2 linked regions of the Notamacropus eugenii genome follow. The protein of the gene in region 1 binds, or shares a complex with, the protein of each later gene. Links are inferred from orthologs where the notes say so. Each region holds a gene or a part of one and is shown in the gene's direction. Other genes may lie near its edges.

Region 1 (10,742 bases):
TCCAAAGCACTAAAAGATTTATAGCAGCATTTTTTTTTTTTTGTCATAGCAAATGACTGGAAATAAAGGAGATGCCTCTCAATTGGGGAATGGTTAAATAAACTGTATAATGTATAGTGGAATATTATTGTACTATAAGAAATGATGAATATGATAAATGCAGAGAAGAATGGAAGACCTCTTAAAGTGATGCAACGTGAAGTAAACAGAACAAGGAAACAATATAGACTGACTACAACAATGAAATGGATACAAGACAATCAAAACTGAATGTTCCAAATTATAATGACCACGCTTGACCCCAAAGAAGAACTTTGAGAAGATATCTCCCTATCCCAGCTTCTTTGCCAAGCTTAGGGAGTAGGGGCTTGGCGTTCAGTATTGCACATAACATCTGACTTTTCAATATATTGATTTACTGAACTTTTTTCTCCTCTTTTTTATTCTTCATTTTAAGGATGACTCCTTGGAAAAGGGAGGAGGAAGGGGACTACTGGAAAACCTATGTGATATTAAAAACATAAAAGATGCTGATGAACTTTTTTTTTTAGGAAGTAGGTTGCCTGGTATAGTTTAATAAGTCTTGGAAATCAGGAAGACTGGGGTTCAAATCCTACCAGACATTTATTATCTGTTCAGCCACAGGCAAATCATTTAACCTTTTGAGCTTCAGCATTCTATAAAATGGAGATGATATAAATTCTACCTACCTCATAGGTTTGTTTCAAGTTTTTAAGTACTATATGTCAGTTATTATTGTTGTACAGAAACAAAGACCTATTTTTAAATTATCAGTGTTATGTTGTGCTGTTAGTTTTTGCACATGAAACACAGCACTCTTGGAGGAATTAAAAATGAATATCAAACAGAAGGGGAGAGGTGGGTGATGGATGTGAATAGGTGGTAACACATAACAAGTAAGGAACTTTGAAGAAAAAGAGGAAGAAAAGATGTCACCAGAAAAACATATGCTACAAAACCAAAAAGATGGGCTGACCACATGATGAATGTTGGAGATGATAATAACACAGTATACTACTGGCATCTTCACCAGGTCAAGAAGGCCTGCAGCACCATGGGTGGGGACCCTCAGTAGTGAATTTACAATAGGATGCTGACAAGCTCTTCATTATTAGAGGTAACATCCAAATCAATGAGATCACAGATATGTTTTAATATTTTAGAACTGAAGAGAAAATTTTTAAAAATCAGTCCCTTCATTTTTAGGAGAAACAGGCCCAGAGAGATGAAAAACTTGCCAACACAACTAGCAAGTAATAGCGCCAAACCTTAAACACTCTGATTCCAAATTTTGTACTTTTTCCCACTGTACCTTTATGGTTCTTTATTTTAAGGATTTTCCCCTCCCAATTCAAAACGAAAACAGGACACTTTTTTTGAAGTCTTTTTTAAATGAGTTTTTTATTTTTATTTTATTTGTTTTCAGTGTTCTACTATCACTTCCATATAGCTTAGATTTTTTCTCCTCCCTCCTCCTCCTTCCCCCCACCTGCCCATTCCCTCCCTGAGACAGCATACAATTTTATATAGGTTCTATACATACATTCCTATTAAATACATTTTCACCTTAGTCATGTTGCATAGAATTAAAATGAATGGGAGAAATCATAAAACTAAACAAAACAAAATACAAAAGAAAATGGTCTGCTTCATGTTTCTTTCTCTGGATATGGAAGGCATTTTGCCTTAAGAGACCATTGGGAATTTTTTAAGTACCTGCATTGCAATGAAGTACTAAGTCTACCAGAAAAATTCCTTGAACATGGTGGTTGTTGCTGTGCACAAAGTTCTCCTGGTTCTGCTCCTTTCACTCAGCATCAGATGATATAAGTCTATCCAGGTCTCTCTGAAGTCTTCCTATTCATCATTTCTTACAGCCCAATAGTATTCCATTACATCCATATACCACAATTTATTCAGCCATTCCCCAGTTGATGGTCATCTTCTTGGCCACCACAAAGAGAGCTGCTATAAATATTTTTGTAAATGTGGGACCCTTTCCCATTTTTAGGATCCCTTTGGGATAGAGTCCTAGAACTAGCAATATAGCTGGGTCAAAGGGTATGCACATTTTTGTAGCCCTTTGGGCATAGTTCCAAATTGCTCTCTAGAATAGTTGGATCAGCTCACAGCTCCACCAACAACGAATTAGCATTCCAACTCTCCCACATTTTCTCCAACATTTATCATCTTCCTGGAAAACAGGATACTTTTAAAAGAATGCTCAGAGCAGGCACAGTCTCTAGAGAAAGGGTCTAGATGGTCCTCTGTTTCATCTCCATTCAAGAATTTCTAGCCAAGATAATTTTGCTTCTCAATATATCAGTATTTTTTTTTTATCAGAAGTCATCATTGTCTCAATGGGAACAAGAACTCCAGGTCCACCAGAAGTTCAAATGTTCCCCAACAATTATTTTGGGTAGATATTTTACATAAAGATGCCCATATCTTGCTTCTCCAGTTTATTCATGGTATCAATCTTTATACCTAAATCATGTATCCATTTGGACTTTATTCTTGTGTACGGTGTCAGGTATGGGTCTATGCCTAATTTCCACCACACTGTTATCCAGTTTTCCCAGCAATTTTTGTCAAACAATGAGTTCTTATCCCAGAAGCTGGGGTCCTTGGGTTTATCAAACAGAAGGTTGCTATATTCCTTGCCTACTGCATCTTGAGTGCCAAGTCTATTCCACTTGTCTACCTCTCTGTTTCCTAGCCAATACCAAGTGGTTTTGATAATTGCTGCTTTATAGTACAGTTTGAGGTCTGGTAGCGCTAGGCCACCTTCCCAAGCATTTCTTTTCATTAGTCCCTTTGATATTCTGGACCTTTTGTTTTTCCAAATGAATTTTGATATTATTTTGTCCAGCTCTAGAAAGTAATTGTCTGATAGTTTAATTGGTATGGCACTAAATAAGTATAATAATTTGGGTAGAACTGTCATTTTTATTATATTAGCACGGCCTACCCATGAGCAACTAATGTTTTTCCACTTACTTAAATCTGACTTTATTTGTGCAAAAAGTGTCTTGTAATTGTGTTCATATAGTCCCTGGGTTTGTTTTGGCAGGTAGACTCCTAAGTATTTTATACTGTCTACCCTAACTTTAAATGGGATTTCTCTTTCTATCTCTTGCTGTTGGACTTTGTTGCTAATATATAGGAATGCAGAAGATTTGTGTGGGTTTATTTTGTACCCTGCAACTTTGCCAAAGTTGTTTATTAATTCTAGTAATTTTTTACTTGAATCTCTGGGATTCTCTAGGTAAATCATCATATCATCTGTATTTATCAGATCTATGGAGAAGGGAAGAATTCTTTACTAAAGGAGAGCTAGAATGCATTATGAAATGCAAAATGGATAACTTTGATTACATTAAACTGAGAAGTTTTTGCACAACCAAACCCAATGCAACCAAAATCCGGAGGGATGTAGTAAATTGGGAAAGAATTTTTACAGCTAAGCTCTGGGATAAAGGCCTCATTTCTAGAATATATAGAGAACTGATCCAAATGTATAATCATACAAGTCATTCCCCAATTGATAAATGGTCAAAGGATATGAACAGGCAATTTTCAGAGGAAGAGGTTAAGGCTATCTATAATCATATGAAAAAATGCTCTAAATCACTATTGGTTAGAGAGATGCAAATCAAAACAACTCTGAGGTACCACATCACACCTATAAGATTGGCAAACATGACAGAACAAGAAAATGATAAATGCTGGAGAGGATGTGGGAAAGTTGGAACACTAATTCATTGTTGGTGGAGCTGCGAGCGCATCCAACCATTCTGGAGAGCAATTTGGAACTATGCCCAAAGGGCTACAAAAATGTGCATACCCTTTAACCCAGCAATATCGCTACTAGGACTATATCCCCAAGAGATCATAAAAATGGGAAAGGGTCCCACATGTACAAAAATATTTATAGCAGCACTCTATGTAGTTGCCAAAAACTGGAAGTCAAGGGGATGTCCATCAATTGGGGAATGGCTGAATAAATTATGGTATATGAATGTAATGGAGTACTATTGTGCCATAAGAAATGATGAACAAGAAGACTTCAGAGAGGCCTGGAAGGACTTATATGACCTGATGCTGAGTGAAAGGAGCAGAACCAGGAAAACTTTATGCACAGCAACACAAGAACTTCTTACCATCCCAATGGAGGATCTCAAGGCAAAATGCCTGCCACACTCAGAGAGAGAAATATGGAAGTCACTCACATATTGTAGCAGATCATGTTTGTGTATGTGTATGTGTTTGTGTATCATGTTCTGATTTGTTATACGATTTCTTTCATTTATCTTAGTCTGACTACATAGCATGACTATAGTGAAAATATACTCAATAGGAAAGTATATGTAGAATTCATACAGAATTGTATGCAGTCGTGGGGAGGGAGGGGGGGAGTAGGGGGTAGGTGGGGGGGATAAAATCACAATTGTATGGCAGTGATTGTTAAACATTACAAAATAAAAAAAAAAAATAAAGAACTAAAAAAAAAAAAAAGATGCCCATATCTTACAGGGCAGAGGGAACATATGGGGATAAATTGGGCCAGGTTAAAAAAATATATTACTACAATTTATTTTAAAATATAAAAGGGAATATATTCTTTTTTTCATAATTGAATGCAGATCGAAGTACACTATTTTTTGTTTCTTTTTTCTTGTGGTTCCTCCCATTGGTTCTAATTCTCCTTTACAATATGACTAATGTAAAAATAGGTTTACTATGAATGTATATGTAGAACCTATATCAGATTGCGTGCCATCTTGGGGAAGGTAAGAAAATTTAGAAAACAAAATCTTATGGAAGTGAATGTTGAAAACTAAAAATAAATAAATTAATTAAAAATGTAATAGATACAAAATATAAAAGGGAGAAAACCAGCTCATTTGGGTATGAGACTTCTGGGTCAGCCTGGTTTCACTAGAAGTATGTATATTACTATTCTTGTAAGATGAAACCATATCAAAATTATGGCTCATGCTAAGTATTTAACACATCACCTTGCTTTCAAGCCTCCAAAGCTAAGGTTAAAGAGAGAGTTGAGGCAAAATGACGGGGCCAAAGAGATGTCTCCCCAAAGATGCCCCCAGAGATGCCAAACACTCCCTCTCTGAATTTCAGTTAACTCAAAGCATTTCTGTAGGGACCAAAGGTCAGTCATCTTGAACAGACCTCTCCTCTGGCTTCCTTTCACTTGGTCCAATGGCTCTTAAAAGTCCTTGGGCAGTCATTTCCCACTCTAGGTGGCCCCATTTGGGGTTTTCTTGGCAAAGGGACTGGAGTGGTTTGCCACTTCCTTCTCCAGATCATTTTACAGGTGAAGAAATTGAGGCAAACAGGATAAGTGACTTGGACAGGGTCACACAGCCTGTAAGTGTCCGAAGCCACATCTCCCCCATTCCAGGCCGGCCCCCCGTCCCTTGCCATCTGACTGCCCCTGTGTATTCTGCAGGGATGGATGTTTAAGATATCAAAACTAAAATGGGCTAAAGTCCCCCTCCTCTTCCTCCTGAACTAAGTGGGCAAGACCCTTGGGATGAGGGGACCCTGGGGGGCAAGGCGCCCTCAGCCCTCGGCGCCACACTGGGCACCACTCTTCAAAGACTGGGCTCTCTGAATTCCTGGTCTCTCCATTCTCTCCTAGTTATGCCGGATTCCTTGTCTGTTTGCCTGACTCTCCCCCATTAGAGCGTACGGCCGGGGAGGGCGGGTATGGCAGCCTGCACAGCGTCGGGCACACAGCGGGAGGCTAGGGAGTGCTCGGAGACTTAGTTCAAACCCAGCCTCAGATGCGTGACTCTGGGCGAGGCGCTTCATCCTCTTGGCCTCAGTTTCCCCATCTGTAAAATGCGCCGGAGAAGGGATTGAGAAACCACTCCAGTATCTCTGCCAAGAACACCCCAAATGGGGTCCGGGAGAATCGGACCCAAGGGAAACGACCTGACCGGAAGGAATGCTCACTGACCGCGGGCTTGGTCAGGGGCCCTGCAGCCCAGGTCGCCAGGGGCAGCTTTCCGCTGGACCACTGACAACCACTGACCCCAGAGGCCCTAGAGAGCGAAGGGCAGGGCTCGCGCCTCCCTCGCGTGCGCCGAGTAATTTCCTGGTTTGGGATGTTTGGCCCTGGGTTCACATTAAAAAAAAAAAAGGCAGGGGCGGAGTCTGCGCATGCGTATGGACACCCTCGAGTTCCAGCCAATCAAGCCGATCAACACACCAATCCCGGCGGCAAAGCCCGCCCCCTTCTGGTGGCTTGGTTCCTTCCCGCCAGCCTCTGCACCCCTGTCTTAGAGGTAACTGTTGTGAAGAGGGAGGGGGCGTGGAAGTGCCAGCAGCCGTCCCAGGCTGCCTGGAGTCCCCGAACCGGACCCCCAGCGCGGCGACGGGGACATGCAGCTGGGCGGCGTGGCCGCTAGGCCCTCCGCGGACTCTTCTCCAGCCTCACTGTCGCGCTGCCGCTTGAGGCCCGGTGCGGCCCGGCCTGGTTCGGGGAGGAGTGAGGAGAGGCGCGGTGACAGGTACGGTGGTGGGGCCGTGGGCCTAGGGGCTGACTGCGGCCCGAAGGGCTTCTCCAGCCTACCGCCGGACCCCTGGGACCGGACAGCCCCCCTCCCCCACTGCCCGAGCCTCCCAGGACGTGGAGCGGTCAGGGTCCTGTGTGCGTGCGCGCGCGCGTTTGTGTGTGTGTTTGTGTGCTTGTGTGTTTGTGTTTGTGCGTGTGCGTGCGCGCTGCACCCTAGAAGTGGGCTCAGAGGAAGCGATATTTCCTGTGTGTGTGTGTGTGTGTGTGTGTGTGTGTGCGCGCGCGTGTGTTTGTGTTCGTGTGTGTGTTTGTGTGTGTGCGTGCGCGCTGCACCCTAGAAGTGGGCTCAGAGGAAGCGATATTTCGTGTGTGTGTGTGTGTGTGTGTGTGTGTGCGCGCGCGTGTGTTTGTGTTCGTGTGTGTGTTTGTGTGTGTGTGCGTGCGCGCTGCGCCCTAGAAGTGGGCTCAGAGGAAGCGATATTTCCTGTGTGTGTGTGTGTGTGTGTGTGCGCGCGTGTGTTTGTGTTCGTGTGTGTGTTTGTGTGTGTGCGTGCGCGCTGCACCCTAGAAGTGGGCTCAGAGGAAGCGATATTTCCTCTGTGTGTGTGTGTGTGTTTGTGTGTGTGTGTGCTTGTGTGTGTGTGTGCGCGCGTGTGCGTGTTTGTGCGTGTGCGTGCGCGCTGCACCCTAGAAGTGGGCTCAGAGGAAGCGATATTTCCTGTGTGTGTGTGTGTTTGTGTGTGTGTTTGTGTGTGTGTGTGTGCGCGTGTGCGTGTGCGTGTTGGTGCGTGTGCGTGCGCGCTGCACCCTAGAAGTGGGCCCGGAGGAAGCGATCTTTCCCGCGGTGTTCGTGTTTTGCATCCCTAAGAGGTCCGCGCTTCCTGGTCCACGGACAGCATTGTTTACATTTTCTCCTGGGGGGGTGTGTGTGTGTGTAAAACTGTGCGGTGCGTGGGTCTGCCCTCTCCCCCGTCGCTTCTTTCTGTCTTGCCAGTTACTGGCGGTGCTTTTTCCTTCTCATCTTTAAGCATTTCCCCCTCTCGCCAGCTCCCCACCAGCTTGTCCACAGGGCATCTTTGTGCACTTTTGTGTTTTTACTTAAAAAAAATTCTTTATGCTGTTTTCTCAATTGAGAAATGAATTTATTTTCCCTAAATTTTCTCCCCCATCCCTGTTTTATGTCCTCTGGTTACTTTCCGCCAGGCTTACTCGCTTTTTGTTTCGTTTTCTTTTTGTGTGCGTGCTTAAAATTTAAAAAAAGACTTGATCCATATATGTCTTGTCATTTCAAACCCATCTGGCGTCTTACCTTAGCGTTTTTAATTTAGCTTTGAGCTAATCTACGACTCGGGCGCTTTAGTATTTTTTAAAATACAAAGACTTTCAAGTGTTGAAATACATAGAACTAGTTAGAAATGCAAATTAAAACCACTCTAAAATCCCTCCCCTCCCCTGTGACTCACCCACATCCACAAAAGTCAGGATTAGTGGGGCTGTGGGAATATTGGTGCTGCTGTTGTGAATTAGGCTAATTATTCTTGAATATTACGTGAAATTTTGGGAGAAAAAATCCCTAATGAACCATTCATACCTGTTTTAGACAGGCACTATATGTTCCAAATTATTTGTAGCAGTCTTTTACAGAGGCAAAACAGTTAACAAAGTGGTGAGTGGCCAAACAAAGCAAGGTATAGGAACCATGAGAAAGGGAATCCGGAGAAACATGGTAAAACTTGTATGAATGGATGCAGAGCAAAGTGAATTGTACTGGGAGAGTGGACGACTATAAAGTAAAGGGAAATAATATTTGCAGTAACTAGCACTGGTCTCAACTAACTTTCTGCCTCATTAGGGAGGTGAGTGTGCATAAGGACACAGAAGCTACTTTTGTAGGAGTTTGGTTGGTAATTTTTGCTTAAATATTTTTTACAGGGGAAAATGAGGTTGATACATTTAGAAATGACAAGAGTTAAAAACAGCTTTCAATAAAACTTTTTAAAGAGACAGGTAAAATGAATATTTAAGATGAAATTCCTTGATATTTATGGCACAATATGGTTTCCTGGAAATTTTTGTGTGTAATGACTTTCAGGTAGATTGCTTGGTACTTTGTAGCACTTCCTTAATTATTCTCTCTTGATTTCATTCAGACTTATGTTACTAGGATAGTGTATATTGCTATGCCAATTAAAGCTTAATACTGCATTAAGACTTTAGGGACACCCTGCATTTTCCAAAATACCTTTAATAAGGCATTTTGTCTTTCATTTTTCTCTCAGTTGCAATTGAAAAACTAATTATTTTGTGTGCTTTGGGAGACTAATTCCCAGGTATTTTATGCATTTTATAGTTATTTGGAATGGATTCCAGTTTTTATTGTTGCTTCTTATCATTTGTTGTTATTTTATAGAAATGCTGTTGATTTTTGATGATATATTTTGTGTCCTGAAACTTTGTTGAAGCTGTTAATTGTCTCAGTGAGTATCTCTGATGAATCTCTGGGGTTATCCAAGTAAACCATCATATCTTTAGCAAAAAGAAATAGTTTTATCTCTTTACCTCTTTATTCCTTTTATGTGGTAGCTAGATGGTGAGGTGGATAAGAGCACAGGGCCTGGAGTCTTGAAGATCTGAGTTCAAATTCAGACTCAGACACTTAGTAGCATCTGTGCCACCCTGGGCAAGTCGCTTAACCCTGTTTGCCTCAGTTCCTCATCTGTTAACTTAGCTGAAGACAGAAATAGCAAACCATTCCAGTATCTTTACCAAGAAAACCCCAAATGGAGTCCTGAAGAACCAGATCTGGCTGAAAATTCTTTTAATTCCTTTCTCATTTTACTGTTATTGTTAGCATTTCCAAAACTATATCACATAATGGTGAGAAGAGTAGGCATCTTTGCTTCACTCCCGAATTTATTGGAAAAGATTCTAGTGTATTTCTGTTGCATGTGATACTTGCTTTTGGATTTAGGTAGATGCTTTTTATGATATTTTTAAAAAAGCTCCCTCTATGCTGTGCTTGTTAGAATTTTTAGCATGAAAGAGTATTTTACTTTATAAAAGGCTTTTTCTGCATCTGTTGATGATCATGTGGTTTTAGATGTTTTGTTTTTAATATGATTAAATTAATGATATGATAATATTACGATAATAATATGATAATAATAATATGATTATGTTGACGTTTCCTAATGGTGAGCCCTCCTTGTTTCCCTGGTACAAATTCTACTTGATCAAAAGAAATTATTTCTTGTATGAATTCTTAGAGTCTGTTTAATAGGATTATGTTTAAGTTTTTTGTCAAGGTACATTAATGATTTGTTGGTCTGTGGTTTTCTTTCAATCTTTCCCTGGTTTAGGTATTAGGATTATATTTGTTTCATAAAAAGATTCTGATAGGGTACTTTCTCAGTTTTTGAGAGTAATTTCTAGAGTGTGTTTGCTAATTGTTTTTTAAAAGTTTGATAGAATTCTCTGATGAATACAATAGGATTAGGAGTTTTGGTTTTTTTTCCTTTTGGTAATTCCTTTATACCTAGATCTCTTTCTTTTCCTCAGATTAGGTTATTTAAGGTCTTGACATAGCCTTCTGATAGTTTGGTCATTTTTGTTTTTGAAGGTATCCCTCTATTTCTTTTGTGTTCTAAGTTTTATTAGCATATAACTGTACGTAATGTTTTGATTATTTTTCTTATAACTTTGTTGTCATTTCACCTTGGTTATTTGCTGTTTTATTGATTTGACTTTCTTCTCTCTTTAATCAGAATTGCTACAGATTTGTCAATTTTATTAGTCTTTTTAAAGAACCAGCTTTTAGTTTTATTTATCATTTCTATTTGTTTCCAGTTTATATCCCATCTAATTTTTAATATCTCTTCTTTTTTTTGCTTATTTTAGGTTTACTTATTTATTTTTACATTCTTGTTGAATACATATTCAGTTTCTTAATCTCTTTTTCTGTTTTGTTCGTGTATGGTTGTAAGATGTCAGCCTCAGAGTTTGGTCTAAGAAAGACAGAGAAAGAGTAGGTTGTTTGTTTCTCTCAATTGGGCAGAGCATGCATGCAGAGAGCAGTTCCAGACGGCTGGTTTGTCTTTCTTAGACCAAACTCCAAGGTTGACATTGGATATGATTTTCCTCCTGAGGACTACTTTAGCTGCATCTCAGAAATTTTGGT
Region 2 (10,660 bases), about 230 Mb from region 1:
GCGCCTCGCAGGAGACCACGGCGCAGACACGCAAGCGCAGTAGCCCCGCCCGGCCCACGACGGGGTGTGGCGGGGAGAAGCAAGGAGGCCGGACCTCCGGCCGCAGATGCGCAAGCGCACTCATCCCCCCCCTCCCCATCCCGGAGGAAGGAGCGAGGAACGGCCGCCGCCAGAAATGCGCAAGCGCACTCCTCCGGGGGCAGGCGCCCGTTCCGGAAGCTTGGGGAACCGAGTGGCGCAGGCGCATTCACACCACCCCAGTGGCCTCTGGAGGGACGGTAAAGGGCTTAAAAACTACAAATCCCATCCTCTTTCCTGGGACTCCTTTTTCCTGTTGACCATCCTTCCGGGTCTCCTCAAGCCCTGCTTCTGATAGTGTTAAATTTTCCCTCCTATCTTGTGTTTTTGCGCCATTGTTGAGCGGAAGCGAATAGCCTGGAAGCAGCCTGGAAACCGAAGGGCGTTGATCGCACTTGGCCGACGGAGGCCCTGCAGGCGGAGGCCGGGAACAGGGGCCCTGCAGACGGAGGCCGGGAACGGGGGCCCTGCAGGCGGAGGCCGCGAACGGGGGCGGGGCGCAAGTAGCGGCTTGCGGGGGAAGCGGCCGAGCTTCTCAGCTTGGACTGGCCGTGCGGTTGACGGCTGCTTCCCGGGCGCATTAATAAATAATGAGTACTATAATCATAGCACCTTCAAGCAAAATGCAGTCTCTCCAGAGGCTTCGGTCGTTATCTCCCGAATCTTGCCCAGTCCTGTCCGAGAGAGACTAACACCTACCGTGAGAGGAGCAGAAGGGCCATGGGTTTGGGTAAACTTTTCTCCCCAGTCCCTGAGAGGAGTAACGGACTACAAATATATATGATCTCCATTATTTACAGATTTCATATTTGCAATTTCACCTACTTGCTAAAATATATTTGTAACCCAGACAGGCAAAACTTTGAGTCACCCTATGCCCACGTTTCCAGCTGAGATCCAACAACCTTCTGGAGACCCTCTGCCTTCTTGTTTCAATTTCATATTACAAACAATCATCCTTCTTGCGATCTGTTAAACCTCGCTTTTTGTTTCCGAATTTTTGTGTCGTTTGCTGGTGATCCCACTGTTTAAAATGGCTCCCAGGGATGGTGCTAAAGAGTTAATGGGACAGGAAGGTTTGCATCACAGAGAAAAGACAAGTATTAGAGAAGCTTCCTTTAGGTTATTCTGCGTGAATCAATAATAGATCAAGGAAATGGAAATTCAGCTAATCTGTGAGGCAGCTCTGGAAAGTGCTAAAGCAAATGATGTGATCAGAGGCTCTCGGAATCCAACCATGTATTGTCTCTAGGAACCATGGTTCAGTATTTGCTAATTCTTTGTGCACGGTAACTCTAGGCTATAATTACTATGAATGATAAGAACCAATAGTATATCTATCTGCCTGCCTAAATGTTGCTGTACAAGGTACAGTAACTTCAAAAGAAAAGCCACTTCCTTGGTCACTAATACTTAAGAGAAAAGGTATCCCCAAACTTACCCAAGTCAGCTTGGCTCCTTCCCCCACAACAGAAAGACTGGTTATGCAAAGAAATATTGAATAGCAAGTAAGCAAAACAACAACAACAAAAATGGTGGTAATACAAATATAGAATGAGCAAGAAAATACCCAAAAGCACATGATTTCTTCTGATGGATGCAAGATAATATTTCAGCTTGAACCAAGAGAGAGAAATCCTGATCTCACCTAGAAGGATCTCACCCCAGTTTCCACCTTGCCTTCTCAGAGACTTTGGATATGTTGAGGATCTTTCTCTCCAAATTGGAGGGGTTCCAGAGAATTTCTAAATCAATGAGTGTCTCTGAAAGAATATATTTCTTCCCCAAAGCTCTTCCATCAAAAATCAACTACTCCTGCCAGCATTTGGTATCCTGTCACCATTCCAGTATTAGAATATTCTTTTGCATATGCAGAGGTTGCAAAATGTCCGAGGTTTAGGAATGCATGTTACAAATATATATGCCTCGAAGGCAGGAATCCAACAATTTCATTTTTGTCCTTTGATCCTTAATAGTTAGCCCAGTTCAGATTATGTAGTAGATGCTTAATAAATAAATGATTTATTGATTCCTTGGTTCCAATGGATGATTCACCTCCCTACAATGTTTTCAACTCTCTGTACTTTGCCACCATGGCTCAGTTGCCTTCTCACTCTACAAATTCTCTCAGTGTTTAAGGCCTTCCAATCCTAGAACATTCCTTCTCCACCTCAGCCTCCCTATACTACTGGTGATTTCCATCCTGGGAGCCTTCATATTAGGCATAGGCCTGATGATAGTTGGATGGGGGAGAGGGCTGGGGATGAGACCCCCCCCACAGACACCAGAGTACAAGGGCAGGTCTCCTGGGATGAATTCGCTGACTCAAGCATTCTTGAGGTCAAGGTAAAGATTTATTACGCTTTTCAAAGGACAAGAATTCTTAGAGAACCTGTAACCTTAGAGGGATACAGGTAATGTTTATCTAGGATATTCTATAGTAAAACATGTACCAAATATGCTAACTAGGTGATTCTGGGCAGGATTAGGGAGTGGTTAAGGAGTGGTTAGTTCTTAAAGGAATATGTACTTTTTGTATCTACTGAGCAGGTATTTTACTCAGAGTTCATCAGGAAATAGCCCAAGGCGGGGAGGGGCTACATGGAGGTGTGGTTTTAGGCCTGAAATACCACTAAGTCAACTAAAGGTCAGGGCTGACTAAGGAATATCAGGCTGCTCTCATCACTGTCTTGTTAGACAAGATAAACGTAAGGGAGTATAAGTATGTTTAAGTCTAGGATACATATGATTGGTCAGTGAGTAGTAAATGTCATTATGACCCAGCGCATAGCCCATTCAGCCAATACACAGCTGGTTCAGACTAATAAGTTCTATAGGTATGGCTGGCTACTGTATCAAGAAGAGAGATAACAGTTTTACTAGGGCCGGCTGGAGAGAAACTTGGGATACGTTCCTATGTTCTTTGCCTAAAGGTTCTGGGCTATGACCATCTGGATCTGGGGGGACAGGGTGATCAAGGTGGTACTCTGTATAAGCTACCCCCTGTATCTCCCTCAGGATATTTTGCTGCTTCAGGTAGATCGAATGCCTCCCCTGTATATGGCCCTGTCTGGCAGTTGGTGGGGAGGGCTGTTCCTCTCTCCACAGGAGCTGCTTCCCTGTAGGAGAGATGGCTGTAGGAGGTCCTGTACTTTGAGCTGGAGAGAAACTGCCTGGGATAGTGTTTTGAGCCTAGAGAGAAATGTGATTTTTAGAGAGAAATGTGATTTTTAGAACTGGGATCCAAGAACATGCACCTAAGCACTCCATTAGGCCCACACTGATCATGCTTCACTCCGTTTCCAGATGTGCTGCTTACTCTTCAGACTCCCTTTTCTGGGGGAGCTACCTCCCTTCCATCTTATCCCCATTTTTCAGCTATTTTTATGAGTCGTCTTCCCCCATTAGAATCTAAGTACCTTGAGGACAAAGACACTTTCATTTTTATTGTATTTGTATCCTTAGTGCCAGACACACAGTAAAGTACAGGACCTCCTACAGCATTATCTTTTTCCCCTCCCTCCCCCTCCTTCTCCACTCCCTCCCTGAAACAGCAGCCAGAAGCACATACACAAATAGTTTGGTGTAGAAATACATAAAACTCAACAAAGAAAAAAGGTAGGAATTTTAGATGGTTAAAAGATGGTTAAAAGGTTTTGGGAGAAACATTTTTCCAGCCCAAAACAACTTAGACAGAAATGGGGAACTCAAGTGTGGCCTCAAGGCTGCAGGTTCCCTACCCTGATAGGAAGTAAGAAGGAGAGGTCTGTGACACTGAGGTAGAAAGGCTGGCCATAGTGACATCAGCTGTTGACCTTGGAGGAAATGGAGACAACAGATCTACAGCAGCAATTTGGGGAGTTGTCACCACTCAAAGACAGAAAGGGCATTGGGCAACTGCTCAGAAAGAAATTACAGGGGACCCTGATCTGGCACTGGATGCAGAACCATGTTGCATTTAGACAGTTCCTGGTCGAAGTTCCAGGGCAAAGAAAAGCACTGGTGCTTGTGGCTGCAGGAGAGCAGAGACCCTTCCTGGGTAAAGACTAGAGCACAGATGAGGAGAGCAGTGACCACACTTCTTCCTAGATCACACTACCTTGGAACTTAGCCCACAGAACTAACTCTGAAAACAGCAGTGGGGAAAAAGCCTGAAGCTTGGGACAGCGCCCCCAATCCCATGCTAGAAACAGAGCCCAACTTTAAAATAAAGCTAAGTCAAGACATAAACTAGAAAAATGAGCAAACAAAATCTGACCCTAAAAAACTACTATGGTGACACAGAAGATAGAAATACAAATTTAGAAGACAACAACATGAAAACAACTACAAAGAAAGCTCAAAGAAAAAATATATAAACTGGACACAAGACCAATAAGAATTCCTGGAAAGGCTAAAAAAAGAGATAAAAATGGTAAAGGAAAAATTGGGGAAAGAAATGAGTGATGCAAAAAAATTATGAAAAGAGAATTAAAAGCTTGGCAAAAGAGACACAAAAAGGTGCTAAAGAAAATAGCTACAGCTCATTGGATTCTACATGTGGGATGAATGGAATTTTCACAAAGAGTCTAATGTTAAAGAGAAAAAGGCTTTAGTTAACCAATCTATCTATGCATGCATGTCTTCTACTCTCTAGAAAATAATAATTCTATTATGTTCATAGAAGAAGACCGACATTTACAGTTGCAAAGATCCTAAACAGGAAAAACATATTTACAGGAATATTGGACTAGAAAAACCATATATTATGAACAGAACATACCATCATCCTTCCCATGTTCTCAAACTCAGTCATCTTCTTCTCTTTTCTCCTTCACCCCCCTATATCTAATCAATTGTTGTTTTTATCCATTCTGCATTCACAACATCTGTTGTACCTGCATTCAATCAGGCACCAACCCTAATTCAGGCTCTCAATTATATGTCAATTTACTATAATAATAGTTGCCGTATTGGTTTTCCTGAATCTACACAATTGCCAAATTGGTACTTCTGAATCTTAGTTTTGACTCTATCCCTCTCCTGCTCAAGAAGCCTTTGTAGTCTCCTTTTGCCTTTAAGGGAAAATTTGGCATTTTAAGCCCTTCAAGATCTGACATCAACCTATTTTTTTCAGACTGAATTTACATTATTCTCACCGGGGCACTCTACATTCTGGCCACACTAGCCTGCCTTCTGTTTGTTGCCAGTACAGGAAATTCTATTTCCCATCTCAGCCTTGGCACTGGCTGTACCCATGCCTACCATGAATTTCCTCCTCATCTCAGCTAGTGGAATCCCTACCATCCTAATAAGGCTAAACTTAACCACCATCTACTATGTCCCCTGAGGCAGCTGGATGGCCAGGTAGACAAGAGTGCCAGGTCTGGAGTCAGGAAAACTCATCTTCCTGAGTTCATAACTAGGCCTCGGACACTTCCTAGGTATGACACTGGGCAAATCAGTTAACCCTGGTAATTCCACAAAGAAGACACTCCCCAGTTCCCAGCATTTTCTCTTCCCTCCTCTGCTCTAGCCAACTCACCTGACCTCTTTGTCTTCAGTCCCAACTAAAATTCCATCTTCCCTGGAAGCCTTCCGCAGCCCCTCCTAATTTTAGGGCCTTCCCTGTATGACCTATTTCCCATTTATCCTACATATCGCTTGCTTTGTATGTGTTTAAGTGTTGTCTCCCCTACTAGACTGACGCTCCTCGAGAGCCCTAAGGACTCTTGCTTCTTCTTATATCCGTGCTTGGCACAATGCCTAGCACACAGGAGGAGCTTAATAAATGACTGACTGATGTGTACGTATAGTCTCTCCGGAGAGAACAGGAATTGCTTCATTCCCTTTATTATTTTCAATTCATCTTGTTTGTTAATCTTTTGTGCTGGGGGTTAGGGAAGTGTTTTTGCCTTTTCAGCCTCAGAACTCAGCAGGGTGCCCCGAAAAGCACTGAAAAAATGCCTTGAAACGAGCCCCTGGTGCTTAGCGAGAGCTGGGGCGCTGGGTCAGCAGCAGCCCCACCCACCACCCCACCCGGCCTCGAAGTCCTCGTCCGCTCCTTCCAACTTTCACTCCCCGGGGCGGTTTCATTTCCCCTTTCGAAGGATAACTACCCAGGAAATGCCCTCCTCCGGGGCGCTCTAGGTGTGGAGTGGGAGGGGTCAGAGGCGCCGCCGCCAGCCGCCGCCCCGCCCGCCAAAACACTGCCCGCTTCGAGGCTCCCCCCTCCCCGTCTCCTCGCGTCCCCGGGCTGAGCGCGTGCCCAGGCTCCGCCTCCCCATGCCCTCCCGCCCCTCGACCTGGAGGAGTAATCAGGGAGGCCCGGGGCCCGAGAAGCCCCGAGGAGAGCGGGCTGGCGGGCGTGGAGGGGCCCTGCCCTCGCCCCGCAGCGCTCTCCCTCTCCCCCCCAGCCTCGGGGCCCAGTCCGAGCCCAGGCCCTCCGGGAGGACCCATGACTCGAGCGGGGCCTCCTTGTCCTCCTCAGAGCGCGCCCCGGGGCCCCCCTCGCCGGCCGCGGCCCTGGCTCCCGCTGCAGCCGAAATTGGGACAGGGATATGAGCGGGAAGGGGCGGAGGCGACGGCGAGGCCCCGGCTAGGCCGGGATGGCCGCAGCCGCAGCCGGAGGCGCTGCGGAGCGGGGCCCCTCGCTTCCCCTCGCGCCTCAGAAGCCGATCCCATGACGGAACCCATTGTGATTTCGGATGACAGCGATGACGAGCCCTGCAGTCCCGGCCGAAGCCTCGGCGCTGGTCGAGCCTGCGGAGCCCGGCGGACTCGGCCGCGACGCGGAGGCGGGAGCCGAGGGGCCCAAGCCGCGTGCAGTGGCCAAGCTGTGGTGGTGAGTCCGTGCCCTCTCCCTCCACCTCCCCCTTCCTCCCTTTATCCTTCTGTTGTCCTCCTTTTAATTAATACGTCTCTTGTTTGGACTGTGAGTTCCTTGAGAGCCAGGAGGTAGCCCCTCTCCCCCTCCTCCCCTCCCTTCTTCCTTCCCTTCTCCCCCTGCCTCCTTTCTCCATGGTAACCTGGAGACTTTCTGAAGAAATGAAGGCCCTCCCCCTCCCACTGTTAGCTGTTAGCTGAGGTGTTGAGCGTCTCCGCCCAGCTCTGCGAAGCCGGGACGCACCGTGTAGTTCAGTCGTTGTCTGGATGGATGATGGATTGCCCTTTCTTCAACTCACTTGACAGAGGAAAAAACTGAGGCCAGTAGGGTTAAGTGACGTGCCCAGGGTCACCCAGCTGGTGGGCGATTTGTGCTCGGCCCCTGACCGCTGCCACACCTGGCTGCCTGCTTAACACCATGGGAGCCTCATAAGTCAGATCCTGGGTCGCAGGAGAGGCCCACCCAACTGACCTTTTATAAACCAGAAGGCTGATTGCTGGCCCCTTTGGAAGGTCCAGAGAAGTGGCTAGTTCTGTTTCCAAGGCCACATCTCAGCAAAAGATCAAAATAATGTAGCAGCGTTTTAATTTTTGATAGGTTTGGACAGGATACCATAGTGGAAACTTTTCTAGGCCTCACTTATCTATAAAATGAAAGGGTCTGGAACAGGTGATCAGATGAAGACATAAAGTGAAAAATAGTGTGCCTCAGTCTGCCTTCAGATTCCTTCAGATGTTCTTTAGAGGTAAATAGCATTTTTCGCCTGGAGTCCTTTGGAAGTGGCTTAGATCGTGGTACTGCTGAGAACAGCTGCTGATGGTATGGCATTGCTGTTACTGGGTACAACGTTCTCCTGCTTCTGCTGGCTTGGCTTTGCATCAGTCTGTGTAAATCTTTCTAGGTGTTTCTGAAGTCAGCGTGCTCAGCATTTCTTATGGCACAATAGTATTCCATTACAATCATGTATCACAGCTTGTTCAGCCGTTTCCCAGCGGATGGGCATCCGGTCAATTTCCAATTCTTTGCAGCCACAAAAAGAGCTGCTGTAAATATTTTTGTACAAATAGGTCCTTTCCCCCTTTTTAAAAATATTTTTGAGATATGCCTACTCGTGGTATTGCTGAAACAAAGGCTACACATAGTTCGTAATTTGTTCATAACTGCCAGTTGCTCTCCAGAATGGTTAGATCAGTTCACAGCTGCACCAACAGTGCATTAGTGTCCTTTCCAATCTTTTTCATTTTTTTTTCTGTCGTATTAGCCAGTCTCGTAAGTGTAAGGTGGTACCTTTTAATTTGCACTTATCTAATCAGTAGTCATTTAGAGCATTTATTCAGATGGCCATAGACAGCTTTGATTTCTTCTGAAAATTTTCTATTCATATCCTTTGACCATTTATCAGTTGGGGAATAACTTGGATTCTTATAAATTTGACTCAGTTCTCTGTATAATTGAGAAATGAGGCCTTTAATAGAGATATTTGTTGAGTTCATTCCCTTGATATTGACCTTTTGTTCTTCCAGATGAATTTTGTTATTATTTTTTCTAGTTCCATAAAATAATTTTTCTTAGTTTGATTGGTATGGCAAGCTTCTCTCATCCTTAAAACAAACCACTAGATCTAATTGTCCTCTCAGTTTAGCATCCTGTATTTAGCTCTTAAATGTTAAACCTAACCCTTTCTCAGTTCTCAATCTTCTTGATTTCTCTGTAGCATCTGGCACTATTGACCAGCTTCTCCTGGATATATTCTTTTATCTCTGTGTTTTTGTGACATTATGTTCTCTTGATTCTCCCCTTAAATGTCTGGTCATTTTTTGTTCTCAGCCTTCTTTGCTGGATTATCATCTTTATCTCACATGTACAAATATCGAAATCAAACTGATTTGCCCCAAGACTTTATCCTGGACCCTCTCTCTATACTTTCTTTTCTGGTGACCTTATTAGGTAGTTTTAATTATCATCTCTATACATATGGCTCTTAGATCAGCATATCTTGCCATAGTCCCGCTCCTGAGCTGCAGGATCACCAACTGCCTGTTGGACATTTCTGACTACATGACTTACAGGTATTTCAAATTTGGCATATCCAAAGTTAATAGATTCCAGGTTCGTAGAAGGAATAATTTCCCAGAAATTAAGAGTTGTGTCCAAAACTTTAATGAGCTACTGTTTAAGGCAATAATTCCTTTTACTGGATGGCTTCAGGGACAGTTGGATGACCCCTTACTAGGTATATCATAGAGGGCAACTCTGCCCAGTCCTGCTAATTATTAGATTAGATGACATCTTGAAGCTGACTCTCATCTGAACTGATGAAAAAAAAAAAGGAAATACACACATACAGACACACACACACACACACACACACACACACACACACTTAGATACAGAAATTCATTTCACTCAGTAGGGAAATAGGAGGGGAAGGGTAGAAGGGCAAATTAGAGTGAAGTCAGATTAAGGAAGGGATTAATCCTAAACAAAATAAACTCTAAAGATATAAAAAAAATAATTACAACTTTTTTTTGGAGATGGCAAAGAATAGGAATCTGAGGGAGTGCCCATGAGGTGGGAAATTGCCAAAATATAGTATATAAATGTGATAGAATGCTACTATTGTACTGGAAAAAATTATGAAGGGGATGTTTTCCAAAAAACCCAGGAAGACTTATATGAAATGATGCAGAGTGAAGAACTAATACAGTGAAGTGAAAAGAACCAGGAGAACAATTTATATTGTGATAGCAATGAGGTAAAGACAAACAACTTTGAAAAAATTAGGAACTCTGATGAGCACAATGACCAACCAGAGTTGTTAGAGAAGGTCAATGATGAACCATGCTACCCATCTCCTAATACAGAGGGGAAGAATTCAGAGTGGAGAATGAGTCATATTTTGTTTGGACATTTGTTTTGCTTGACTGTACATGTTTATAACAGAGATTTTGTTTTTCTTTCATTCTCAATTGCCTGGGAGATTGAAGGACGGAGTAGGGTTGGAGTAGGAAGGAAAGAAGGTGGACTTTTGCCAATGTAAAACAAACATATACATATATATATACACACACACGTATGTATACACGTACGCATGTGTGTGTGTTGTAAAAATTTATCTCATTCTCTGTGTTGTTCCTTATTATGCATAGTAAAGGCTACTTTAGAGTTTTCTTTTAAAAGCTACCACAACTTTTTCAGACTAAAATTCTTAAATGACTTTTACATTTTAAAAAATGCTTAAATGTAGCAATTAACCTTTTCTTCAGTACTCTTTTAGTATATCATGTTCCAAGTTCTGTGATTTTTATTTTTGAAATCTTATGTAATTCAAATTGATAGTTTTTTCTTGTTTTTTATGTTATGCATTTTCCTTTCCCTGCTTATAAAATCATCTACTAGTCATGGAAGTTTTGAAGCTTGACATTGATGTATCTAAGTGAGGTAAATCTGAAGTTTCTTGCAAGCTATGTTTATTTATAATCTTTGCCTTTTTTCAGTATTTCTGGGAAATTTTCCTAGATGATTTTTTTTTTCGAGGCAGTTGGGCTTGAGTGATTTAGCCAGCATCAAGTGGCTATGAACCCAGGTCCTCCTGACTCAAGGGTCAGTGTTCTATCCACTGTGCCACCTAGCTGCCCCCTAGATGATTTTCTGAAGTATAATAGTCATTCTTTTCTTCATTTTTCATGAAACCTAGAACTTAAATTTTCTTTCTTT

What was found.
Region 2: the proteins of SLF2 (region 1) and SIMC1 are in contact, whole or in part, in a cryo-EM structure (PDB 7T5P), measured with the Homo sapiens proteins. The link is inferred for Notamacropus eugenii from reciprocal best matches to the Homo sapiens genes SLF2 and SIMC1. Residues at the interface, in NP_060591.3 of Homo sapiens: His738, Val772, Leu775, Lys778, Asp783, Phe786, Gln790, Gly791, Phe792, Thr794, Ser795, Ala796, Tyr797, His798, Tyr799, Cys820, Ile821, Gln825, Ser828, Met831, Glu832, Ile835, Arg836, Asp838, Thr839, Ser841, Asp842, Ser843, Pro847, Lys919; in NP_001295125.1 of Homo sapiens: Tyr426, Arg428, Leu431, Lys435, Leu438, Pro440, Val442, His443, His444, Leu445, Phe447, Gln448, Arg470, Arg471, Phe490, Asp493, Pro497, Val521, Asp522, Lys525, Glu526, Tyr528, Met529, Met532, Lys533, Gln536, Leu537, Arg571, Asn658, Gln661.

Annotation. Positions count from the first base shown.
Region 1 is NC_092872.1:178,891,148-178,901,889, forward strand, and holds the start of SLF2 (SMC5-SMC6 complex localization factor protein 2), read left to right. Parts: upstream 1-6,291; 5' UTR 6,292-6,432; coding exon 6,433-6,560; intron 6,561-10,742. UniProt on the Homo sapiens protein: Plays a role in the DNA damage response (DDR) pathway by regulating postreplication repair of UV-damaged DNA and genomic stability maintenance.
Region 2 is NC_092872.1:412,834,264-412,844,923, forward strand, and holds the start of SIMC1 (SUMO-interacting motif-containing protein 1), read left to right. Parts: upstream 1-6,269; 5' UTR 6,270-6,514; coding exon 6,515-6,901; intron 6,902-10,660.